Linked DNA regions of Macaca fascicularis. The protein of the gene in region 2 binds, or shares a complex with, the protein of the main gene of each other region. Links are inferred from orthologs where the notes say so. Each region holds a gene or a part of one and is shown on either strand. Other genes may lie near its edges.

Region 1 (7,056 bases), about 2.9 Mb from region 2:
CTCAAAAAATAAAAAATAAAATAAAATGATAATTTACTAACAATATTATGCACTGAGATTAACATAGTATATAAATTTTCTACTGCTGCTGTAACAAATGACCACAAACTTAGTGGCTTAAAACAATACAAATTTATCTTACAGTTCTAGAGGTCAGAAGTCTAAAATGAGTTGGCAGGGTTGCATTCCATCTGGAGGCTCTAGGAGAGAATCCATCTCATCTTTTTCAGCTTCTAGAGGCTGCCTGCATTCCTTGGGTTATAGATTCTTCTCATGTCACTCGGACCTCTGCTTCCATTGTCACATTTCTTTCTGTGAATCTGGCCCTCTTGCCTCCCTCTCTAAGGATTATGTGATTAGGTTGAGCCCAGCTAATCCAGGATAATCTCTTCATCTCAAGAGCTTTAATATAATTACATCTACAGAGTCCATTCTGCCAGGTAGGGTAACATATTCACAGGTTCTGGGAATTAGGATGTGGATATTTTGTGAGGCTGTTATTTAGCCTACAACACATAGACAGCAAAATGTGAACCCATAGATGAATTAATAATTAACAAAAGAAATGATAGGAGATTTACTTTTTTTTTTGGAGATGGAGTGTCGCTCTGTCACCCAGGCTGGAGTGCATTGGTGCAATCTCACCCCACTGCAACCTCTGCTTCCTGGGTTCAAGCGATTTTCCTGCCTCAGCCTCCCAAGTAGCTGGGACCACAGTCATGTGCCACTATGCCTGGCTAATTTTTGTATTTTTAGTAGAGACAAGGTTTTGCCATGTTGGCCAGGCTGGTCTCGAGCTCCTGATCTCAAGCACCTATCTGGGCCTCCCAAAGTGCTGGGATTACAGGTATGAGCCACCATGCCTGGCCAAAAGCTTTACTTCTAATGCATTTTAAGCTTTATATCAGAACAACCCACAAAGAAGATAAAATAAATTATTTTATTAAGTAAAAGCTTTCATAAATATATATCAAAATAATAAGACTTGGCCCGGCATGGTGGCTCACGCCTGTAATCCCAGCACTTTGGGAGACTGAGGCAGGTGGATCACTTGAGGTCAGGAGTTCGAGACCAACCTGGCCAACATGGTGAAACCCCATCTCTACAAAAAATAAAAAATTAGCCAGGCACGGTGGCATGCACCTGTAATCCCAGCTACACAGGAGGCTGAGGCAGGAGGATCGCTTGAACCTGGGAGGTGGAGGTTGCAGTGAGCCGAGATTGCACCATTGCACTCCAGCCTGGGCCAAAGGAGTGAAACTCCATCTCAAAAAAAAAAAAAAAAAAAAAAAAAAAGTAAAGGAAAAGAAAATAATAATAATAAGACAAGATACCTAACATAAACCAGTAATTATTAAATTGACAACATACATCAACTAAATGGTTGCTGAAGCATGTGCAGATACATTCTCATGCTTTCATGAATTCTGAGATTTCCTGGTTATATATAATATTTTCAGGTAGGGCCAACATTTCTTAAGGGTATTTATGCAATTTTTTTTTTTTTTTGAGACAAGATCTCACTCTGTTGCCCAGATTGGAGTGCAGTGGTGCCATCTTGGCTCACTGCAACCTCTGCCTCCCAGGCTCAAGCTATTCTTCTGCCTCAGCCTCCTGAGTAGCTGAGATTACAGGCATGCGCCACCATGCCCAGCTACTTTTTGTATTTTTAGTAGAGACGGGGTTTCACCATGTTGGCCAGGCTGTTCTGGAACTCCTGACCTCAATTGATCCACCCGCCTCTGCCTCCCAAAGTGCTGGGTTTACAAGGGTGAGCCACTGTGCCCGGCCTGGTAATTATCCAGTTATACTAACAGTTACATAAAACAGCATAGTGTTTTTCTGACATTTATGTACATATATATGTATATATTTTTTCTTTCTTTCTTTTTTTTTTTTTTTTTGGGACAAGGTCTCACTTTGTACCCCAGGCTGGAATGCAGTGGTGTAAACACGACTCATTGCAGCCTCAATTTTCCAGACTCAAGTGATTCTACCTCAGCTTCCCGAGTAGCTGGGATTACAGGTGTGCGCCACCACGCTAATTTTTGTATTTTTTTGTAGAGATCAGATTTCACCATGTTGCCCAGGCTATTCTCAAACTCCTGAGCTCAAGCAATCAGCCCACTTCGGCCTCCCAAAGTATTGGGATTCCAGGCATAAGCCACACCACTTCTGGTCCTGACATATATTTTAAAATAAGTTTTAGGCTGTGCACGGTGGCTCATGCGTGTAATCCCAACACTTTGGAAGGCCGAGGCGGATGGATCACCTGAGGTCGGGAGTTTGAGACCCGCCTGGCCAACTTGGTGAAACTCCATCTCTACTAAAAATACAGAAATTAGCTGGGCTTGGTGGCACCACTGCACTATAGCCTGGGTGACAGAGCGAGAGACTCCGTTTCAAAAAAAAAAAAGGTTTTAGATGAAAAATATAATTAGCATTAATTATTTTCCATAAGTACCTATTAACATACTGCAGTATTGTTTGAGGGAAATTATAATAAAAACCTACTTGGGAAAAATAAAATCCAACATTCTTGATAGTTTAGTTTAAAAGGCTGTGGTTAGATATTTTATTCTCAGTTGTCTAGCAATGTTACATGAATGACTAGTACAAAATGACAGTTTCACAATAGGCTGATGGGTAAAGCTGTCAGCCAGCTCTTTCAGGTAAGAACCTCGCCTGGTAGCTGCATCTTGATGATCAACTTTGCTCATTTAGGAACAGTTTTTTTTTTTTTTTTTTGAGTCTCACTCTGTCGCCCAGGCTGGAGTGCAGTGGCACGATCTCGGCTCACTGCAACCTCTGCCTCTAGGGTTCAAGCCATTCTCCTGCCTCAGCCTCTTGAGTAGCTGGGACTACAGGCATGTGCCATCACACCGGCTAATTTTTTGAATTTTTAGTAGAGACGGGGTTTCACCGTGTTAGCCAGGATGGTCTTGATCTTCTGACCTCATGATCCGCCCGCCTTGGCCTCCCAAAGTGCTGAATTACAGGCATGAGCCACCGCACCCAGCCAGGAATTTTAATACTTTTATCAGTTCATCCAGGTCTGATCTGGCTCTGACACATGAGCTGAACAGCATGTCTTACTTGACAAATCAAATTAGGGTCAGAAGTTTGCCTAATGAGTCTAGTTAAAATGCCAGGCTGCCCAAGGCACTAAAAATGCCCAGAAACCCACAACAACTCATTTCTCAGCTCCCTTTCCCCCAGTGTGGCCTGAATTACAAACTTAAGCAATATATTGAGGTAGCATTCTACACTGGAAAATGTGGTACATTTGAAAAACGATGAGTCACAATTCTATTTGACAGTCTTTCTCCCCTTGGTTTGTATGGCTGGCTGTCCGGTAAAGTACAGTACAGTAGCCACTGACTGCATGTGGCTACTGAGTACCCAAAATGTGGCTAGTCTGAATTGAGATGTGCTGTAAGTGCAAAATGCATACCAGATTTTGAAGACTTAAATTAATAAGAATGTAAAATAATTCATTAATAATTTTTTATATTGATTACATGTTGAAATGATAATATTTGGATTTATTTGGGGATAGAGTAAATAAAATATATCATTAAAATTAATTTCACTCACTTCTTTTTACTTATTAAATGTAGCTACTAGAAAACTTAAAACCATATATGTGGTTCACTTATTTGTATTAGACAGCACTGATGTAAGGCTCCTGAAGTCCGCCTCTATTATCTTAGCAGCTCATTGTGGTCTTATCCATTCTTTGCCTTTGCAGTAACTTAGATTTAGAAGTTAGAATAGCAGGTAGATTTAGGAGGTAGAATAGAAAGTTTTGAACCCTGTGGCCACCCTTCAAGTCAAAAGAATTAAATGCCCAGGAAGACAACAAAAGTCATAATGCAGCCGGGTATGGTGACGACTCACGCCTGTAATCCCAGCACTTTGGGAGGCCGAGGCGGGCAGATCACGAGGTCAGGAGTTCAAGACCAGCCTGGCCAACACGGTGAAACCCCGTCTCTACTAAAAATATAAAAATTAGCTGGGCGTGGTGGCACACACCTGTAATCCCAGCTACTCGGGTGGATGAGGCAGGAGAATCGCTTGAACCTGAGAGGGAGAGGTTGCAGTGAGCCTAGATGTGCACTCCAGCTGAGATGTGTACTCCAGCCTGGGCAACAGAGCAAGACTCCGTCTCAAAAAAAAAAAAAAGTCTTAATGCAATTCTTCATCTCATTTGGATTTATTCTACAATATTGGAGGGGAAAAGGGAAAGGAGGCAGAAGAGTAATCTTCATATAAGTGTTTGCAGAGACAGAATGTGTGTGTATGAAGGATCAAAGAGGACTATGAGAATTATTTTGGGGAGGAAACACACACACCCACGAGGAAATAGGACAAAGAGTGTGTTGTATTCCATCTCCACCCCTCTCCACCTCTCTAGGTTTTGATCTACTTTATTTTGGCTATACCAATTTTTCTCTCTTTTTCTCAGTGTACCAATTTACACACTTCCCCTGATGGAATGTGGCTCTTGAAAAGAGGCCAGGCACCGTGGCTCACGCCTGTAATCCCAACCCTTTGGGAGGCTGAGGTGGGTGGATCACCTGAGGTCAGGAGTTTGAGACCAGCCTGACCAACATGGTGAAACCCTGTCTCTACTAAAAATACAAAATTAGCCAGGCATGGTGGCACATGCCTGTAATCCCAGCTACTCAGGAGACTGAGGCAGGAGAATTGCTTGAACCCAGGAGGCAGAGGTAGCAGTGAGCCGAGATGGCGCCATGGCACTCCAGCCTGGGCAACAAGAGCGAAACTCCGTCTAAGAAAAAAAAAGAGAGAGAGAGAAGAAAGACTAATGGGAGATAAGGATGCAGGCAGGTGTAATAGGTGATAAGGATGCAGCAGCCTAGAAAGATGTTTAACTAAATTGAAAAAGACCTCACTCTGGTCCACCTTCTACGCTAATCCACCTTCTACTCTAATCCATAACTCTCTTATATGTGGAATAAATGCTGCTGATATTGTTAAAACATTAATATTTATCCAAAATACCAAATATTTAACTGAGAAATGGGGGAAAGCCTCTGAAAATATGTTTTTCAACAGGGAAAAAACAAGAAGAAAAAACATGATGGCATTGTTTATGAAACTAAAGAAGTTCTCAATCCATCTCCCAAAGTAACAAATTGTTGCAAATCACTGTGGGTAAAATACAGTTTTCAGAAGGCATACATGACCCAACTTGTCAGCTCCCAGCCAGTTCCAGCAATGTCAAGGAACTCAGGTAAGATCTTATTTGGATTAAACTAAGATAAATAGTTTACTTAGCATGTGTTTTTCTTGATATTAAGACCATAAAATTGGACATTTTATATATATATATATATATTTATTTATTTATTTTATTATTATTATTTTTTTGAGATGGAGTCTCACTCTGTCGCCCAGGCTGGAGTGCAGTGGTGCGATCTCAGTTCTCTGCAACCTCTAGCTCCTGGGTTTAAGTGATTCTCCTGCCTCAGCCTCCCGAGTAGCTGGGATTGCAGGCGCCCGCCACCATGCCTGGCTAATTTTTTCATATTTTTAGTAGAGACGGGGTTTCACCATGTTGGCCAGGCTGGTCTTGAACCCCTGACCTCAACTGATCCCCCCTCATAGGCCTCCCAAAGTGCTAGAATTACAGGCGTGAGTCACTGCGCCTGAATCACATTAAATATATTATTTAAATATGAACTATAAGAAAATCTATTCATCCCGGTTCTTAGGTGGCAAAAATCTAAAAGTGACTTTGCTTCATGGTACTAAATCTCTTTAGTTTCTATTAGCCCTGAATCATTGCTGTGACGACCAATTAAGGTAATCCCAAATGGGCTAAAAATAGATCAAATTTATCTTTTAATAAAAATTAGTCTTTAAATTGGACCTGATAGTGTCTGTATTGTTAAGGTAGGGAACATTCAGATTAGATTTCTTCTTGATTTTGCCACTAGAAGAGAGAACATGAAGGAAAGATAAATTTGAAATTTTACGTTGCAAAAATGTGATTCCTAAATGTCCCAGAATGCTGGAAAAGTAGTTTTATGTTTTGAAGAGCATTAAAGGGCAGTGTTAGGTAAATTTATGAGGTTTTAGACTTTTAGATAAAAAATATGCTAGATACCCGAGAGGGATTATGAACATTAATTTCAACCTAATATCTAATTTTAAAATAATTACATGCCTCCTGAGAAAGTGGAAATTTCAAGCATCCTGATAGTTGCTTGCCACCACACCAAATACTTTTTTTGTTTTTGTTTTGTTTTGTTTTTTTGAGACAGAATCTCACTTTGTCGCCCAGGTTGGAGTGCAGTGGTACAGTCTTGGTTCACTGCAACCTCCGCCTCCCGGATTCAAGTGATTCTTCTGCCTCAGCCTCCCAAGTAGCTGGGATTACAGGCGTCCGACACTACGCTGGGCTAATTTTTATATTTTTAGTAGAGCCAGGGGGTTTCCATCATGTTGGCCAGGCTGGACTCCTGACCTCAAGTGATCCGCCGGCCTCAGCCTCCCAAAGTGCTGGGATTACAGGCGTGAGCCACTGCGCCCGCCCTGCTATCCATTTTTTAGAAAGCACTGAATTGACTGAAATTTTGGATCTTCTTCTTCTTTTTTTTTTTTTTTTGTTTTTGAGACGGAATCTCGCTCTGTCGCCCAGGCTGGAGTGCAGTGGCGCGATCTCGGCTCACTGCAAGCTCCGCCTCCCGGGTTCACGCCATTCTCCTGCCTCAGCCTCCCGAGTAGCTAGCACTACAGGCGCCCGCCATTAGGTCCAGCTAATTTTTGTATTTTTAGTAGAGACGGGGTTTCACCGTGTTAGCCAGGATGGTCTCGATCTCCTGACCTCGTGATCCGCCCGTCTCGGCCTCCCAAAGTGCTGGGATTACAGGCGTGAGCCACCGCGCCCCGCCTGAATCTTCATTTGTTAATTCCGTTGTCAACAATTATTCCCCAAAGTCTGAGATTGTGTCACCTATGAACACGTTCTAGGAACTTGTATTTATTTTTGAGACGTAATTCACTTAACATAAAGTTCACCCTTTT
Region 2 (7,007 bases):
CTCTGTCCTTCTTGGGTTTGTTCTGTCCTCAAGAACACTCCCAGCAGCCAGACAGTATGTCTTCCCTCTTAGCATCCAGGTTTTATGTGTCCAGGTGGTAGCACAGACCCCGCTAAGTCTATTTATTTAGTTGTTTTTATTTTTATTTTTAATTTTTTGAGATGGAGTCTAGCTCTGTCTCCAGGTAGGAGTGCAGTGGCACGATCTTGGCTCACTGCAACCTCCGCCTCCCAGCTTCAAGCGATTCTCCTGCCTCAGCCTCCTGAGTAGCTGGGACTACAGGCGCCTACCACCACGCCCGGCTAATTTTTGTATTTTTAGTAGAGACGGGGTTTCACCATGTTGGCCAGGAAGGTCTCGATCTCTTGACCTCGTGACCCACCTGCCTTGGCTTCCCAAAATGCTGGGATTACAAGTGTGAGCCACCGCACCCAACCCTATTTTAATTTTATTTTTTTGAGACAGGGTTTCGTTCTTGTCACCCAGGCTGGAGTGCAGTGGTGCAATCTCAGCTCACTGCCACCTCCGCCTCCCGGGTTCAAGTGATTCTCCTGCCTCAACCTCCCAAGTAGCTGGGATTATAAGTGCACGCCACCATGCCCGCCTTTTATTTGTGTGTGTGATGGAGTTTCGCTCTTGTTGACCAGGCTGGAGTGCAATGGCTCAATCGCAGCTCACCGCAACTCTGCCTCCCGGGTTCAAGCGAGTCTCCTGCCTCAGTCTCCTGAGTAGCTAGGATTACAGGTATGTGCCACCACGCCAGGCTAATTTTGTATTTTTAATAGGGATGGGGTTTCTCCATGTTGGTCAGGCTGGTCTCAAACTTCCAACCTCAGGTGATCCGCCAGCCTCGGCCTCCCAAAGTGCTGGGATTACAGGCGTGAACCACTGCACCTGACCATTTTTTTTTTTTTTTAAACAGAGTCTCATTCTGTTGCCATTCTGCTGCCCAGGCCAGAGTGCAGTGGCGTGATCTTGGCTCACCGCAAACTCCGCCTCCTGGGTTCACGCCATTCTCCTGCCTCAGCCTCCCGTGTAGCTGGGACTACAGGCACCCGCCACCATGCCTGGCTAATTTTTTTGTATTTTTAGTAGAGATGGGGATTTCACCATGTTAGCCAGGATGGTCTCGATATCCTGACCTCGTGATCCGCCTGCCTCGGCCTCCCTTTTTTGTATTTTTAAAAGAGACAGGGTTTCGCTGTGTTGGGCAAGCTGGTCTTGAACTCCTGGCCTCAGGTGATCTGCCTGCCTAGGGCTCCCAAGGTGCTGGGATTACAGGCGGGAGCCACCATGCCCGGCCTTTTTTTTTTTTTAGACAGAACTCTCCCTCTGTTGCCCTGGTACGATCACAGCTCACTGCAGCCTCAACCTCCTGGGCTCAAGCAATCCTCCCACCTCAGCCTCCCCAGTAGTTAAGACCACAGGCATACACCACCATGCTTTGCTAATTTTTTTTTTTCCATATAAGCAGGGTATTGCTGTTGCCCAGGCTGGCCTGGAACTCCTGCACCTGGCCTCAAGCGATTCTCTTGCCTTGGCCTCCCAAATGGCTGGGATGGGATTATAGGCAGCCTGGAGGGGTGATGGGATTATAGGCGTGACACACCACAGCTGGCTGCCTTTTTTGTTGTTGTTGTTGAGACAGGGTCTTGCTCTGTCACCCAGGCTGGAATGCAGTGGTGCAAACATGGCTCACTGCAGCCTCAACTTCCGCAGCTCAGGTGATCCTCCTGCCTCAGTATCCTAGGTAGCTGGGACCACCACACGCACAGGTGTGAACCACCATACCCAGCTAGTTTTTAATTTTTTTTTCTGTAGAGACATGGTCTCCCTTTGTTGCCCAGGCTGGTCTTGAACTCCTGGGGTCAAGTAATCCTCCCACCTCGGCCTTCCAAAGTGTTGGGATTACAGGCGTGAGCCACCGTGCCCGGCCTCTATTGAGTTTTAATCTCCGTTTACTTCACTATCACCTTCAGGATTTCAGATCTCCAGAGACCACCAAGGTGCATGGTGCACAGGTCTGAATTGCAGGTTGAATCTCAATTTAGTATTAGTATTCCCCAACGCGACTACAGAACTGATTTTTTTTTTTTTTTTTTTTTGAGACGGAGTCTGGCTCTGTTGCCCAGGCTGGAGTGCAGTGGCTGGATCTCAGCTCACTGCAAGCCCCGCCTCCCGGGTTCACGCCATTCTCCTGCCTCAGCCTCCCGAGTAGCTGGGAGTACAGGCAACCGCCACCTCGCCCGGCTAATTTTTTTTGTATTTTAGTAGAGATGGGGTTTCACCGTGTTAGCCAGTATGGTCTCGATCTCCTGACCTCATGATCCGCCCGTCTCGGCCTCCCAAAGTGCTGGGATTACAGGCTTGAGCCACCGCGCCCGGCCCGAACTGATTATTACTATTTTTTTTTTTTTTTTTTTTTTTTTGAGATGGAGTCTTGCACCGTCCCCCGGGCTAGAGTCCAATGGTGCGATCCTGGCTCACTGCAACCTCCGCCTCCCGGGTTCAAGCGATTCTCCTGCCTCAGACTTCTAAGTAGCTGGGATTACAGGCACCCGCCCACCACGCCCAGCTGATTTTGTTAGCCAGAATGGTCTCAATCTCTTGACCTAGTGATCCGCCCGCCTCAGCCTCCCCAAGTGCTGGGATTACAGGCATGAGCCACCACGCCCGGCCCAGAACTGATTATTAACCCAGCTCAGTGACCTTTAGAGAGCACCTTAAACCAGCTGAGCCTCTGTTTGTTCATCTGAATGGGTATTGTCAACAGCACTCACTTACAAGAGTTGTTGAGAAGATCCAACGAGACAATAGTTGCTAAAGTGCCAGGCATGCAGCAGTGCTTAAGAAACTTCTCACCCTGGGTTTTTTATTGGTATTGATTGATGTAGAGATGGGGGAGAAGATCAAAGACAAGGATTGAGAATCAGGGATGGGAAAAGCAGTGGGCCACTGACAGCCGCTCTGCCTGGCTGGGAGGTGGGGTGGGGAAAGTGGGCGGGAGCTGCTCCTGGGCCTGGCCCACCCAGATCACCCCTCCGGGCTGCAGGCCTGTGCGTCTGCATCCGGTGGCCACAGAGCAACTTCCTCTAGAGGGAGCTGATTGGAGCCGGTTGCCGCTGGCACCTCTATGATCACTGGAGTCTCGCGGGTCCCTCAGGCAGCACAGGGACAAGCAAAGGCTACATCCAGATGCCAGGAATGCACTGACGCCTGTTCCTGGAAGCCGAGCTCCCACTCAGCCCCTGGGAGCAGCAGCCGCCAGCCCCTCGGGACCTCTCTCTCTGCCCTGCTGAGCCACCCGGGTTGGGCCAGGATCCTGGCAGGTAAGCTGGAAGGGTCCTGCCCGTCCTCCCAAATCTCAGCAGCCCCAGCCCCAGGGTGGGGCAGGGAGCCTGCCAGGAGCCGGGTGGGGAAGGGGAAGCTCAAAGCTTACCTGGGCAGGTCCGCCTGCCCGGCTGGGGACCTGATCGTGGCAAGCCTACTTCTGGCTGCCCCTCACAGCTTCCCCTCTTGCCCCAGCCCTGGATGCCGGAGAACTGTGAGAACTGGGTCCTTTAACAGTCTGGGAGATGGGGGTGGAGGTCAGAGCCAAGGTCAAGGGCAGAGAGAGAACTTTCTCAGCGCTTCCTGCTGCCCAACATCCCTAGACTGGGTCCAGGGCCTGGCCAGGCATGTATCCCTGGGGAACATTCATCAGGGCCCAGCAAGCCCAGGAAGTCGGGGGTGGCTCCCCTCACCGGGAATTTAGGCCACTTGGATTGGGGGACAGAGCTAGGCCTGAGTCAGCATAGGTTGCTGGCCTTGGGGGGTGTCCTGAGGCTCTACCTGCTCCCCTCAGGAGCCTGGGTTGTTGGTAGAGGGAGTTGGGGGTGCCGTCAGCATCCTCTGGCCCTACTGTCCTGAGGGTGCTGGGTTCTGGAGACTGGGGAAGAAGGAAGGCCATCTTATTTAAGGAGCTCCGGGGGGGTGGGGGTTTTATTTTTTGTTTTTTGAGACAGAGTCTCACTCTGTTGCCCAGGGTCGAGTGCAGTGGCGCGATTTCGGCTCACTGCAACCTCTGCCTCCCAGGTTCAACCGATTCTCCTGCCTCAGCCTCCCGAGTAGTTGGGACTACAGGCGTGCGCCACCATGCCCAGCTAATTTTTGTATTTTTAGTAGAGACGGCGTTTCATTATGTTGGCCAGGCTGGTCTTGAACTCCTGACCTCGTGGGCCACTGTGCCCGGCTGCAAAGTTCTGTTTTAACAAGGCCTTGCCCCTAGAGGTGGAGGAAAGGAGAGTCTGCCTTCGCCCTGTCCGTGTCCGGCAGAGCAAGGAGTGGGGAGCTGGGTGAGGGCACAGGTGGTCCAGTCCTCCTCCACCCCTTCTCGAGAGCTCTTGGGGCAGTTTCGAAAACACTCCCAGGCCTAGCGGAAGGAGGGTGGGCGAAGGTCCCCAGGCCCTGGGCGGTGGGGGTGGGGCTGTGTGCTTGGCCCAGGGTGGGGCTGCACACCCCCTGCCTCTGAGATAGGAGGAGGGCGCTTTCCTTCTGAGGGCCGGAGGGTGCCTGGGGAAATGGGGCTCTGGGAGGGGTGCAAACTGAAAGTGAAACAGCTGACATCCAGGAAACGCCCTGATGAGGGGTCACAGCACGTTGGTGCTGCGGTCGGGACCAGGCAAAGAGGAAAGTTGGCTGGGGACAGAAGACTAGGTGTGTGGTGGGAATACGAGGCAGGTTGTGGGGCTTCGAAGAAGGCCCTGATCCTGAGGGCTCCCTCCGGTCACTGCAAGGCAGGGGTGAGGAAGGCACAGGCAGGAGGTAAACAGGGAAAGTTGCCCTGAGAAGGGACACCCTCTGAGGTCCACAAACAAGAAGAAATCTTAAATGCTTGTTGAGTACATGGACTCATGGAGATTCAGACAAACAACCCGACTTTCCGTCACTAATGATGTGACCTCGGGCACTCAACTCTTTATGCCTCACTTTTCCAGGCTGCAAAGTGGGTATGATGGTGCTCACCCTGCTGGGTTCATGTGAGTTTTCAATGTTCAACACCCAGAGTGCTCCTAAGTGGGAGAGTATATCTTAGGCTCTCAGGAAATGTTTGCGGCTAACAGCCCAGAGTTAAAAAACAGGTGTGTTCTGACCAGCCAGAGGGAAGTAGGGCCTCTGAGGGCAGCCTTCATGGGCCATTGGCTGGGCAGTGGCTCGCTTGCAATAAGCATGTGCTGGGTGGGCTGCAGGAGGCCCCAGGAACAGCTAAAACCCCCCAGGCTCTTGCCCCAGGAGTGGTATGAGCTTGAGAGCCAGCGGGCACTGCTGCAGCCACACTCTCCTCGAGGGTGCAGATACCTCAGTCTGCCCTTGGCTGCCTCACCTTCTTACCCTGTCTCCCTCGAAGGGTCACCAGTGAAGTGCTCAGAAGTTGTTTCCTCCCAGCAGACTTCACTGGGACCCATGCTGGAGTGAGAATAAAAAGTCCCAGAGGAAGCCAGGCACAGTGGCTCACACCCGTAATCCCAGCACTTTGGAAAGCAGAGGCAGACTCACAGGTCAGGAGTTTGAGACCAGCCTGGCCAAAGTCCCAGAGGACTGAGGGCCTTTCTGGGAATGGGGAACCCTCTCTCCTATGTGGACATGGCAACCTGTCTGGGGTCCCCAATCACAGGTCCATGCTCACCCCATCTCTGCTTTTTCTCGCCCATCCCCGCAGGCTGACCCCGTCCTCCACTGAGACCTGAAAAATGGCTTCGGGACAAGGCCCAGGTCCTCCCAGGCAGGAATGCGGAGAGCCTGCCCTGCCCTCTGCTTCTGGTAAGGGTCTTCCTGCCCCTCACCCATCCCATAACCATGAGTGCTGTCATAAGGATGGAAGGAGCAGGACTCAGAGGCAGGCTCCTTCACCTCGGTTCACCCACTGTGGGTGGGAACCCACGGGCTCAGAGGCTGAAGCTGCTGTCAAGGTTAAGCCTGGGAGGGGGAGGAGTCTGGACTGGGGAGGGCCTGGAGGTTGGGAGAGGCCAGGAAGTGAGTGTAAGGTGGGCACAGTGCCACCGGAGCAGAGGGCGGGGTCAGGGGCGAGGGAGGCAGGAAGTAGAGTGAGGTCTGGCTGCTGTATCCCTCCAGCTGGAGAAATAAGGAAGTAAGCTGGCCAATCACCCAGTCAGGTCTGCTCAACAGGGAACGCAATTATTGTGACTTGGGGAGGAAGTAAGATGGCTGCCCTCCTTCCTTCTTCCCAGGGGACAGCCAGGGAAGCCCCAGCTCACACCCCACGGTGGGCTGTTCCCTGGACTTGGGAATCAGCTCCCAGGTCTGTCACTATCTCCCTGTGTGACTTTTCTGGGTTGAGGCTACAATTTCAGATTTTGTTTCCCACATTTCCCTGCACACAAAGGGCTGCGGAGCTGAGATGTACTAACGTAGACTCAAGAGCCCAAATGCCCGGGACTGTCCCAGCTCCCCGGCTTGTTCTGGCTATATGATCTTGCACACGTTAGACACCCTGTGTCATTTTCCCCCTGAAATCTGGAGATTGCCTGCTCCCAGGGCTACTGTGAGGACCCAATGCAAGTGCTGGAACAACTCTCCACACAGCATAAGTTCTAGGGCGGCTAAGGCTCTGAAGTAGGGATCTTTCTTTTCTTTCTTTTATTATCTTTCTTTCTTTTCTTTTCTTTTTTTTTTTTTTTTTTTTTTTTTTTTTTCTGAGACGGAGTCTTGCTCTGTAGCCCGGGCTGGAGTGCAGTGGCCGGATCTCAGCTCACTGCAAGCTCCGCCTCCCGGGTTTACGCCATTCTCCTGCCTCAGCCTCCGGAGTAGCTGGGACTACAGGCGCCCACCACCTTGCCCGGCTAGTTTTTTGTATTTTTAGTAGAGACGGGGTTTCACGGTGTTAGCCAGGATGGTCTCGATCTCCTGACCTCGTGATCCGCCCGTCTCGGCCTCCCAAAGTGCTGGGATTACAGGCTTGAGCCACCGCGCCCGGCCAAGCCACCGCGCCCGGCCCTTTCTTTTCTTTC
Region 3 (7,071 bases), about 2.8 Mb from region 2:
TTTTTCCAAGTAGTTGCACCATTTTCCACTCCTACCAGCAGCGTATGAGAATTCTGTTTGCCCCGCACCGGCTCTGACACTTGGGGTTGTCTGTCTGAGAATGACAGCACAGCAGTATGGCTGAGTCCCGCAGACATGCAGTGAAAAAAGCCAGGCGTAAAAGAAAACATGCAGACCGATGATGCTCCAAAATAGGCAAAACTAATCTAATCTGGGAGTCATGAGGGGAACAAGGCGGGTTCTGGGGTGCCAGGAATGTTCTCTTTCTTCATCTGGGTGCTGGTTTACACAGGTTTATTCCCTTTGTGAAAATTCATGGAGCTATCTCCTTGTGATCTGCGTACCTTTTTATATGTTATACTTAAATAAACATTTCAAAAATATTCTGTCTCAATCTCCCTCTGTCTCCCTCTCGCATCTTCCCTCCCAGCACATGGTTGGGAACTGTCACCTTCAGAGCCCCCTTCAAGGCTGTGTGACCTGGACAGTTGCACAGGGTGTGCACTCAGAAGGGCCTGGTGCTTGGTTTAAAGTTCTGCTGTCTGTCTTGAAACTATTAATACTTTTTGAGCAAGGGTGCTTTGTTTTCATTTTGCATGGGGGCTCACACATAGTGTAGCCGACCTTGGCCCCGGGTCAGGTAGCTGCCAGAGTCTGTCTCCAGATTTCCAGCCCAGGACGTGATCTTTGGCAGGCACTGAGGGCAGGGCTAGGTTGCTCCCCTAGACCCCTGATGGAAAAGGTGTGGAATGCTCAGAGCGGCCCATGACGGCTTTCCCTCCCGTGAGAACCTAGGAGCGCATGTACCTGCAGATGGGATTGCTGGGTACATGGGAGGTGCCTGCACAGTGTCCCACGTGGCTCTCTGCCCCTCCCCTTCTTTTTATTGTGGTAAAATATGCATGACATAAAGTTGACTGTTTTAACCTTTTTAAAGTGTACGGTGCAGTGGCATTAAGTACATTTTGATTGTTGTACCACTCTCTACCACTGAACCATCTCCACAACTCAAAAGTTGAGTTTGAGTTTGCCTTGTGAAAATCCTCCACATCTCAAAAGTTGTGGAGATGGTTCAATGGTGGAGGTGGTGGTACAACATTCCTCTCAAACTGAAACTCTGTATGCATTAAACAACTTCCCATTCCCTTCTGCTTGCTTGTATGGTTTTCTCTGTGTGTTTCTCTCTTCCCAACTACTTTGTGGACTCTGTGAGGGCTGGGCCAGGCCAGGCATATTCACCTCAGAATAAGAAAGAACACATACAATACACACAGGGCCTGGAAGAAGTGGGTGACAGAATAGTTTCATTAAATAAATGAAAAATATGTAATATTATTTAACCTTTGTTTGAAGGCTGGGTGACTTCTTGACTAATAAACTCTAAATTTAGTGCTGAGACAGTGTCTGGCACATAGCTGGATCCAAAACCTGTTGACAGAATGAATGAAGCATTAATAACTCTGTTGCCCGTAATAAAATATTGGGCCTTTATTGAACCCTTACAAGTACCAGGCACTGTTAATACACAGAAAGAAAGATGTTTGGCACTCCATACCCTCCCTCCCTCCCTTCCTCCCTTCCTTCCTTCCGCCCGCCCTCCCTCCCTCCCTTTCTTCCTTCTTTTCTTTCTTTTTTTCCTTCCTTTCCTTCCTTTCTTCTTTTTTCCTTTGACACAGGATCTCACTCTGCTGCCTAAGCTGGAGTGCAGTAGCATGATCACGACTCACTGCAGCCTTGACCTCCTGGGCTCAAGCAATCCTCCTGCCTCAGCCTCCTGAGTAGCTGAGACTACATGCATGTGCCACCATGCCTGGCTAATTTTTAAAATTTTTAGTAGAGATAAGATCTCACTAGGTTGTCCAGGCTGGTTTTGAACTTCTGGGCTCAAGCAATCCTCCTGCTTTGGTCTCCCACAGTGCTGGGATTAGAGATGTGAGCCACCATGCCTGGCCTCCTTCTTTTCTTTATAAGCATTAGCACATTTGGCCCTACAACTACCCTCTGAGATGACCACTTGTTTTATAAGTGAGCACAAGCTCAGCGACATTGTGTCCTCTGCTGAGGTTACATAGCTGGCAGGTGTCTCCAGACGGGGCTGACTCCAAAGTCTGGTGCCTCCGTATTTATTTTGTAATGCCTCCCTGTGTTAATGAACCAAAATAGAATTTCTTAACTTTTTTTTGAGACAGAGTCTCGCTCTGTCACCCAGTCTGGAGTGCAGTGGCGTGATCTCAGCTCACTACAACCTCTGCCTCCTGGGTTCAAGTGACTTTCCTGCCTCAGCCTTCTGAGTAGTTGGGATTACAAGTGTCTGCCACCACACCTGGCTAATTTTTGTATTTTTAGTAGAGATGGGGTTTCACCATGTTGGCCAGGCTGGTCTTGAACTCCTGACCTCATGTGATCCGCCTGCCTTGGCTTCCCAAAGTGCTGGGATTACAGGCATGAGCCACCGCGCCCGGCCTTTGCTTTCATTTTAATAAAACTAGTTTTTCTTTTCTGATTATAAACATGTATTTACACTCTTTTTTTAAATAAGGCATTACAGAAAGTGGAACTCTGACTTTTTAGGACTTCTTAGAATGTTCTCTCAAGATCCGTGGCAACCCTTCCCGGGCGCAGCAGATCTGGAGCAGGTGGCTCTTGTGGGCTCTTTCTTCTGGGCTGTCTCCAGGTCAAGGGACGTATGTATCCCATCGCTGACCTTTCTTTCTAGGTACCCACTAATCTTCAAAGATAACTGAGGGATGTTGTAAAGGCAGTAAAGCTACCTCCACTTTCTTCCCTAACCTGCGTTTCCCATTAAGGCTTGTTTTCAACTCTAAGGTGGGGCTTTCCCCAGCCAGACCTTAGGTTATTTTCTGAGCTTTGGTTTCTTATTGGGGTTTGGGTGCAATAAGGAAGTTGTCAAGTGAAACTGTTTTTTCCAGGGTAGCTGAGCTAAGCCTCCTATCATTGGAGGAGCGGGGAGCAGCCCTGGGTTGGGTGGTAACAGGTGGAGGCAGGTGAGCCAGCCCATGGCTCTCTGGATTGGCTGCCATGAGCTCAGCTCCTGGAAGATACTATATATATGGACGGCCAAAGCATCTTCTGAGACACTCAGAAAATTGTCAGCACCAAAGTCGTGGCATCTTCTCCCTGGGAGAGCTGGGTCTGACTTCTCATTGGACACAACTTCCAGCTGACAGGGAGGAGAGCCTACCACAGAGACCTCCTGTCTGAAGATCCCGGCCCCGGGTGTTCAGGACAAAAGCGATTTCTGTGGTCCAAGGTTGGTTGAACAATACCCTCTCCTTTGGGGGCTGGAGCAGTGGGTATGTATCTTGGGGTCCGGAGAGGAGTTTAGTCCTGGGAGTCAAACCAAGAGTCCAGTTCCAATTCTGCTTCCAGCATGCTGGGCCCTCCCAGAGAGGCAGCAGGGGTGGAGGTGGGGGAATCAGTTTTCTTATCTCTAAAAAGATGAAGCAGGGTTCAGTGACATTATCTCAATGGGGTGTTTCTCAAAGAGCTCTGGGCTCACTTGGACTTAAAACTCTGTATTCAAGTCCCAATCCTGCTTATTAGCCGGCACCCTGAGCAAGGAACTTCACTTCCTTGGGCCTCAGTTTTCTTGTCTGTAGGATGGGGCAGCATTACATAGCTCACCTGCTAGTTTCCCTATAGGATGTGGTAGACGTCGAGTTCTAGACCTTATGTGAAGGTACATGAGGGGACCCCCGATAAATGGGAGGTGTTATTATTACCTATGGTTGAATTAAGATTCTATGAGTTTTAAGGTTTCGGAAGTTAGTCCAAGAACGGGGAGATCTTATTAAAAAAACTCATGGTCTACTGCTTTCTTGGATGGGAATTTAGAGGCTGGGGGTGGATTATAACCCACAGTCCTGACCGACTCCTCACGCAGTGTTGCATTGCCCGTGGTCTTGGATAGAGGACAGAATGGGGTGGGGAGGGCATGGGTGTCTATACCTAGGCACACGTGATTGTGTGACTCTGTGTGCACAGGTCACTGTAGGTGTGTATGTGAATGTGGTTATTTCCATCAGTGTGAAAGAGCAGGTTTCTCCCCTCTAAGTCTGTATGTAAGTGTGTGCATGTGTATCTATGCTTACATGAGGCCATTTGGTGTAGAATAGAGAAGATAGGATTCAGATCAGGAGAAGTGAATTCGAGTCTCAGCTCTCTGCTTCCCGGCTATGTGACCTGGGGCGTGTCTCTTAATGGTTGAGAGCCTCAGTGCACCACTGTTAGCCCATCTGAGTCACAGCCCTTGGCAAAGATGGAATGAGATCATGTAAAGGAAAGGGCTCTCTGGACGCCGTGTGGCTGCATGAAGGTGAGATGGTTTGGGTTTTCACGTGCCTATGTATCATTTATTTGTTTCACGAACACCGAGAGCCTCCCAGGCTCAGGTCCCCTCTCACGGAACTTAGAGTTAGCACCGATGGCAAGTAGTGAGCTTGGTCATATAATTATTCCTTTACACTTGGGACAGGAGAAATACAGGGCGTCTTGAGTCCGTGTAGGTCTGTGGTGTGCACAAGTGTGTTCTGGTGACACGTGGATGTCTGTGGTGTTGACTGTGGGTCCACGTGTGTGTGCCACACACTCTGTCCCTCAGGGTGCTGCTGTGGGTGTGCCGCAGGTTTTCTCTCTGTGAAGTTTCTATTGTGTGAATCATGGGTGGAAAAGGAGAGCCGCAAAGTTATCTCCATGAAAGGCACCAGAGCAGTTAGAGGGTAAGGCGGCCAGGTGAACAAATTAGCAAACAGCATAGAGATGAGGTCACCGTGCAACTTAGAAAGTAAACAATACACAGCAGCAAGCTTGGGGAAGGCAGGCAAACTTCCTGCTCCAGGGTCAGCTTCGTGAGCCTTCTCTGGTTCTTTGTCGCTGTTGCTGGACATGTCACCAGTAAATGCCACATCTTATCAGAAGAAGTCTTGTGATCTGTAGATCACTCGGGTATTTCTGAGCTGATTTGGACTTTGCTCTGACATCCACAACAAGTTTACGAGAGCAGCTGGGTTTCCGCATAGTGAGGCCGCGCTGCTGGCTTAGGGTTCCTAGTCTGGAGCACAGCCTGCGCGGGGTGGGATTCCCTGGTGGTCGGGCTGAATGTAGTTGAGCACCTGGGGCACAAAACAAAGAAGAAGAAAGGAAAGTCTTGCTTTGATAAATCCTGGATAGCAGAATTTTATACTTGGAAAGTCTTTAATTTTGGCACAGGTAGGAAAGGGGAGGTTATTAGGATTAAAAGACAAGCTTCCCAGGGCTTAGAGACTTTAAAAGTCTGAGGACACACCATCCACAGAGGTTCTTCAGGGGTCTTCCTGGGGGCGTGTTGGTGTGTCTTCCCCAGTCAGCCGCACTCTCTCAATCCCTGGCCCAGAGCTGAAGACAATCTTTGAAACATTACAGAGGAGGAGCAGTTGGAGCGGGGGAGAGGGAGGAGAGAGCTGGACTGAGCACAGTCACAGCCACCCAGAGAGGAAAGAGAAAAGAAGGAAGTAGGGCTGGTATCAAATGCTGCAGCACGTTAGGGAGGACAAGGCATGGGAAGAGGTCACTGGATTTGGAATTAGGAAGCCTTGGGAGACCCTGGAATCTCTTCATTGGGGAAACTCTTGGGTAGCAGAGGCTGGGCGTCACCCGGCCCCCTTCCTGCCTCTGGGCTGCAGCAGCAGCTGCGGGGCTCCTGGCCTTAGTTTCTCGCATCTCCCCATGGGCTCAGGGCACCGGTTATTCCAGGGAGGGGGTGGCCAAATCACAGTAGCTTTCCTGAAAAAACGTCAGGGAAAGCATGTGCTGGTGGGATTGTGTTAATGTTCTGATCAGGAGGAGCAGCGTGTCCTTGGAATGCATTAGGAGGATACTGCCGCCATTGGCAGTGGCGAAAACCGTTTCCATGGCAATGACAGCTCTTTAAAAGATGACTGCGTCTCTCTTCCCGTTAACTGGGTAAGGAAGCACTGGCCCTCCGTGCGATGGGTCCCATGGAGCCAAATCTGTGCAGACGGAAGAGAGGCTGAGCTGAACAAGAGTGTCCTGGTTCTGTGGTTTTGTTAATGAACAGCTTCTCTGCCAACCCCATCCAATTTGCCCTGACCACAGGAACATATGGAAAACGCAGAGAGAACCCTGACAGCGTTCAGTAAATATTTCTGGCTCGGCTTACTTTTTTAAAAATATGATCTTAAATCACATAGAACTTCAACCTAAATTTATCTTCTTTTAAGACCATGTGCTTCTGAAGAGACAGCAGATGCAGGGGAATGGAACATTGCTGTCATCACTGTGTACTCACATCCTTATTCCTGCGCGTTCAGAGAAGACCAGAATATTCCCTCTGGGGGCACACACTGCATCTCGTTCATGATTGTATCCCTAGCACCGAGCATAATTTCTGGTGCAGAGTGGGTGCTTATTAAATGTTTTTTGAGAGAAATAAGTGAGAACAAACATAAATTTTTCCCCATGACTTCTTCTCCTTGTCCTACCCCCCGTTGTCTTCGGAAACACAACCGTAAGGCAGCCAGTCTCTGAGTCTTTCAGGAATATTAGTGAATTTCCATATAAGGTACAGATACATACTGCTAAAAGTTTCCGTGTAGCCCAGATGTTCCTTTTAAGGAACATTAAATAACAAATAAGTCCTTTTAAATTGCCTGCCTCCACCCCGACCTGATTTCTCATTTCCTCCAAGGTCATCCACGTGTGGACACTTGGCTCCAATGGCCTCTGGCCTTGGCGACCTGGGGCTGCAATATCGTCTGGTTTCCTTCCCAGACGGGTGCTTGGAGGAGGGAAGGCATCCCAAATGTTCATGTCACCTTCAAATATGTGTGTTCCCATTTCTTTTCTTCTTTCTCTGTATCTTCTTCACTTTCCTGTGGATCCCACACATAAGAAATTGCAATTATAGATTCTTATTTTTGCCTCTAAGCTGAGCATAGCAATAGAATACATTTTAGAGTACATCCCATACCACTAAACATTACTTGGTCAATGCATGCTAAAGCTGTAATGACAAATTAGAGCAGGCAACCTGTGGTCCTAAACTCCACAGGA

Evidence for each region.
Region 1: the proteins of BAK1 (region 2) and PXT1 are in contact, whole or in part, in a crystal structure (PDB 8GSV), measured with the Homo sapiens proteins. The link is inferred for Macaca fascicularis from reciprocal best matches to the Homo sapiens genes BAK1 and PXT1. Residues at the interface, in NP_001179.1 of Homo sapiens: Ile81, Gly82, Asp84, Ile85, Asn86, Arg88, Tyr89, Glu92, Phe93, Met96, Leu97, His99, Leu100, Tyr110, Lys113, Ile114, Ser117, Leu118, Glu120, Ser121, Asn124, Trp125, Gly126, Arg127, Val129, Ala130, Phe134, Asn182; in NP_694535.2 of Homo sapiens: Ile78, Ile79, His80, Lys81, Leu82, Ala83, Met84, Gln85, Leu86, Arg87, His88, Ile89, Gly90, Asp91, Asn92, Ile93, Asp94, Arg96, Met97.
Region 3: the proteins of BAK1 (region 2) and BNIP5 are in contact, whole or in part, in a crystal structure (PDB 8IGC), measured with the Homo sapiens proteins. The link is inferred for Macaca fascicularis from reciprocal best matches to the Homo sapiens genes BAK1 and BNIP5. Residues at the interface, in NP_001179.1 of Homo sapiens: Leu78, Ile81, Gly82, Ile85, Tyr89, Glu92, Phe93, Met96, His99, Leu100, Tyr110, Lys113, Ile114, Ser117, Leu118, Ser121, Asn124, Trp125, Gly126, Arg127, Val129, Ala130, Phe134, Ala180, Leu183; in NP_001010903.3 of Homo sapiens: Ile246, Ile247, Gln248, Met249, Ile250, Val251, Leu253, Leu254, Lys255, Arg256, Val257, Gly258, Asp259, Gln260, Trp261, Glu262, Glu264, Gln265, Ser266.

What each region holds. Positions count from the first base shown.
Region 1 is NC_088378.1:135,244,111-135,251,166, forward strand, and holds the start of PXT1 (peroxisomal testis-specific protein 1), read left to right. Parts: upstream 1-2,642; coding exon 2,643-2,672; intron 2,673-5,082; coding exon 5,083-5,260; intron 5,261-7,056.
Region 2 is NC_088378.1:138,114,854-138,121,860, forward strand, and holds the start of BAK1 (bcl-2 homologous antagonist/killer), read left to right. Parts: upstream 1-3,094; 5' UTR 3,095-3,329; intron 3,330-5,386; 5' UTR 5,387-5,537; intron 5,538-5,698; 5' UTR 5,699-5,729; coding exon 5,730-5,799; intron 5,800-7,007. UniProt on the Homo sapiens protein: Plays a role in the mitochondrial apoptotic process. Upon arrival of cell death signals, promotes mitochondrial outer membrane (MOM) permeabilization by oligomerizing to form pores within the MOM.
Region 3 is NC_088378.1:135,331,814-135,338,884, forward strand, and holds the start of BNIP5 (protein BNIP5), read left to right. Parts: upstream 1-3,092; 5' UTR 3,093-3,271; intron 3,272-7,071.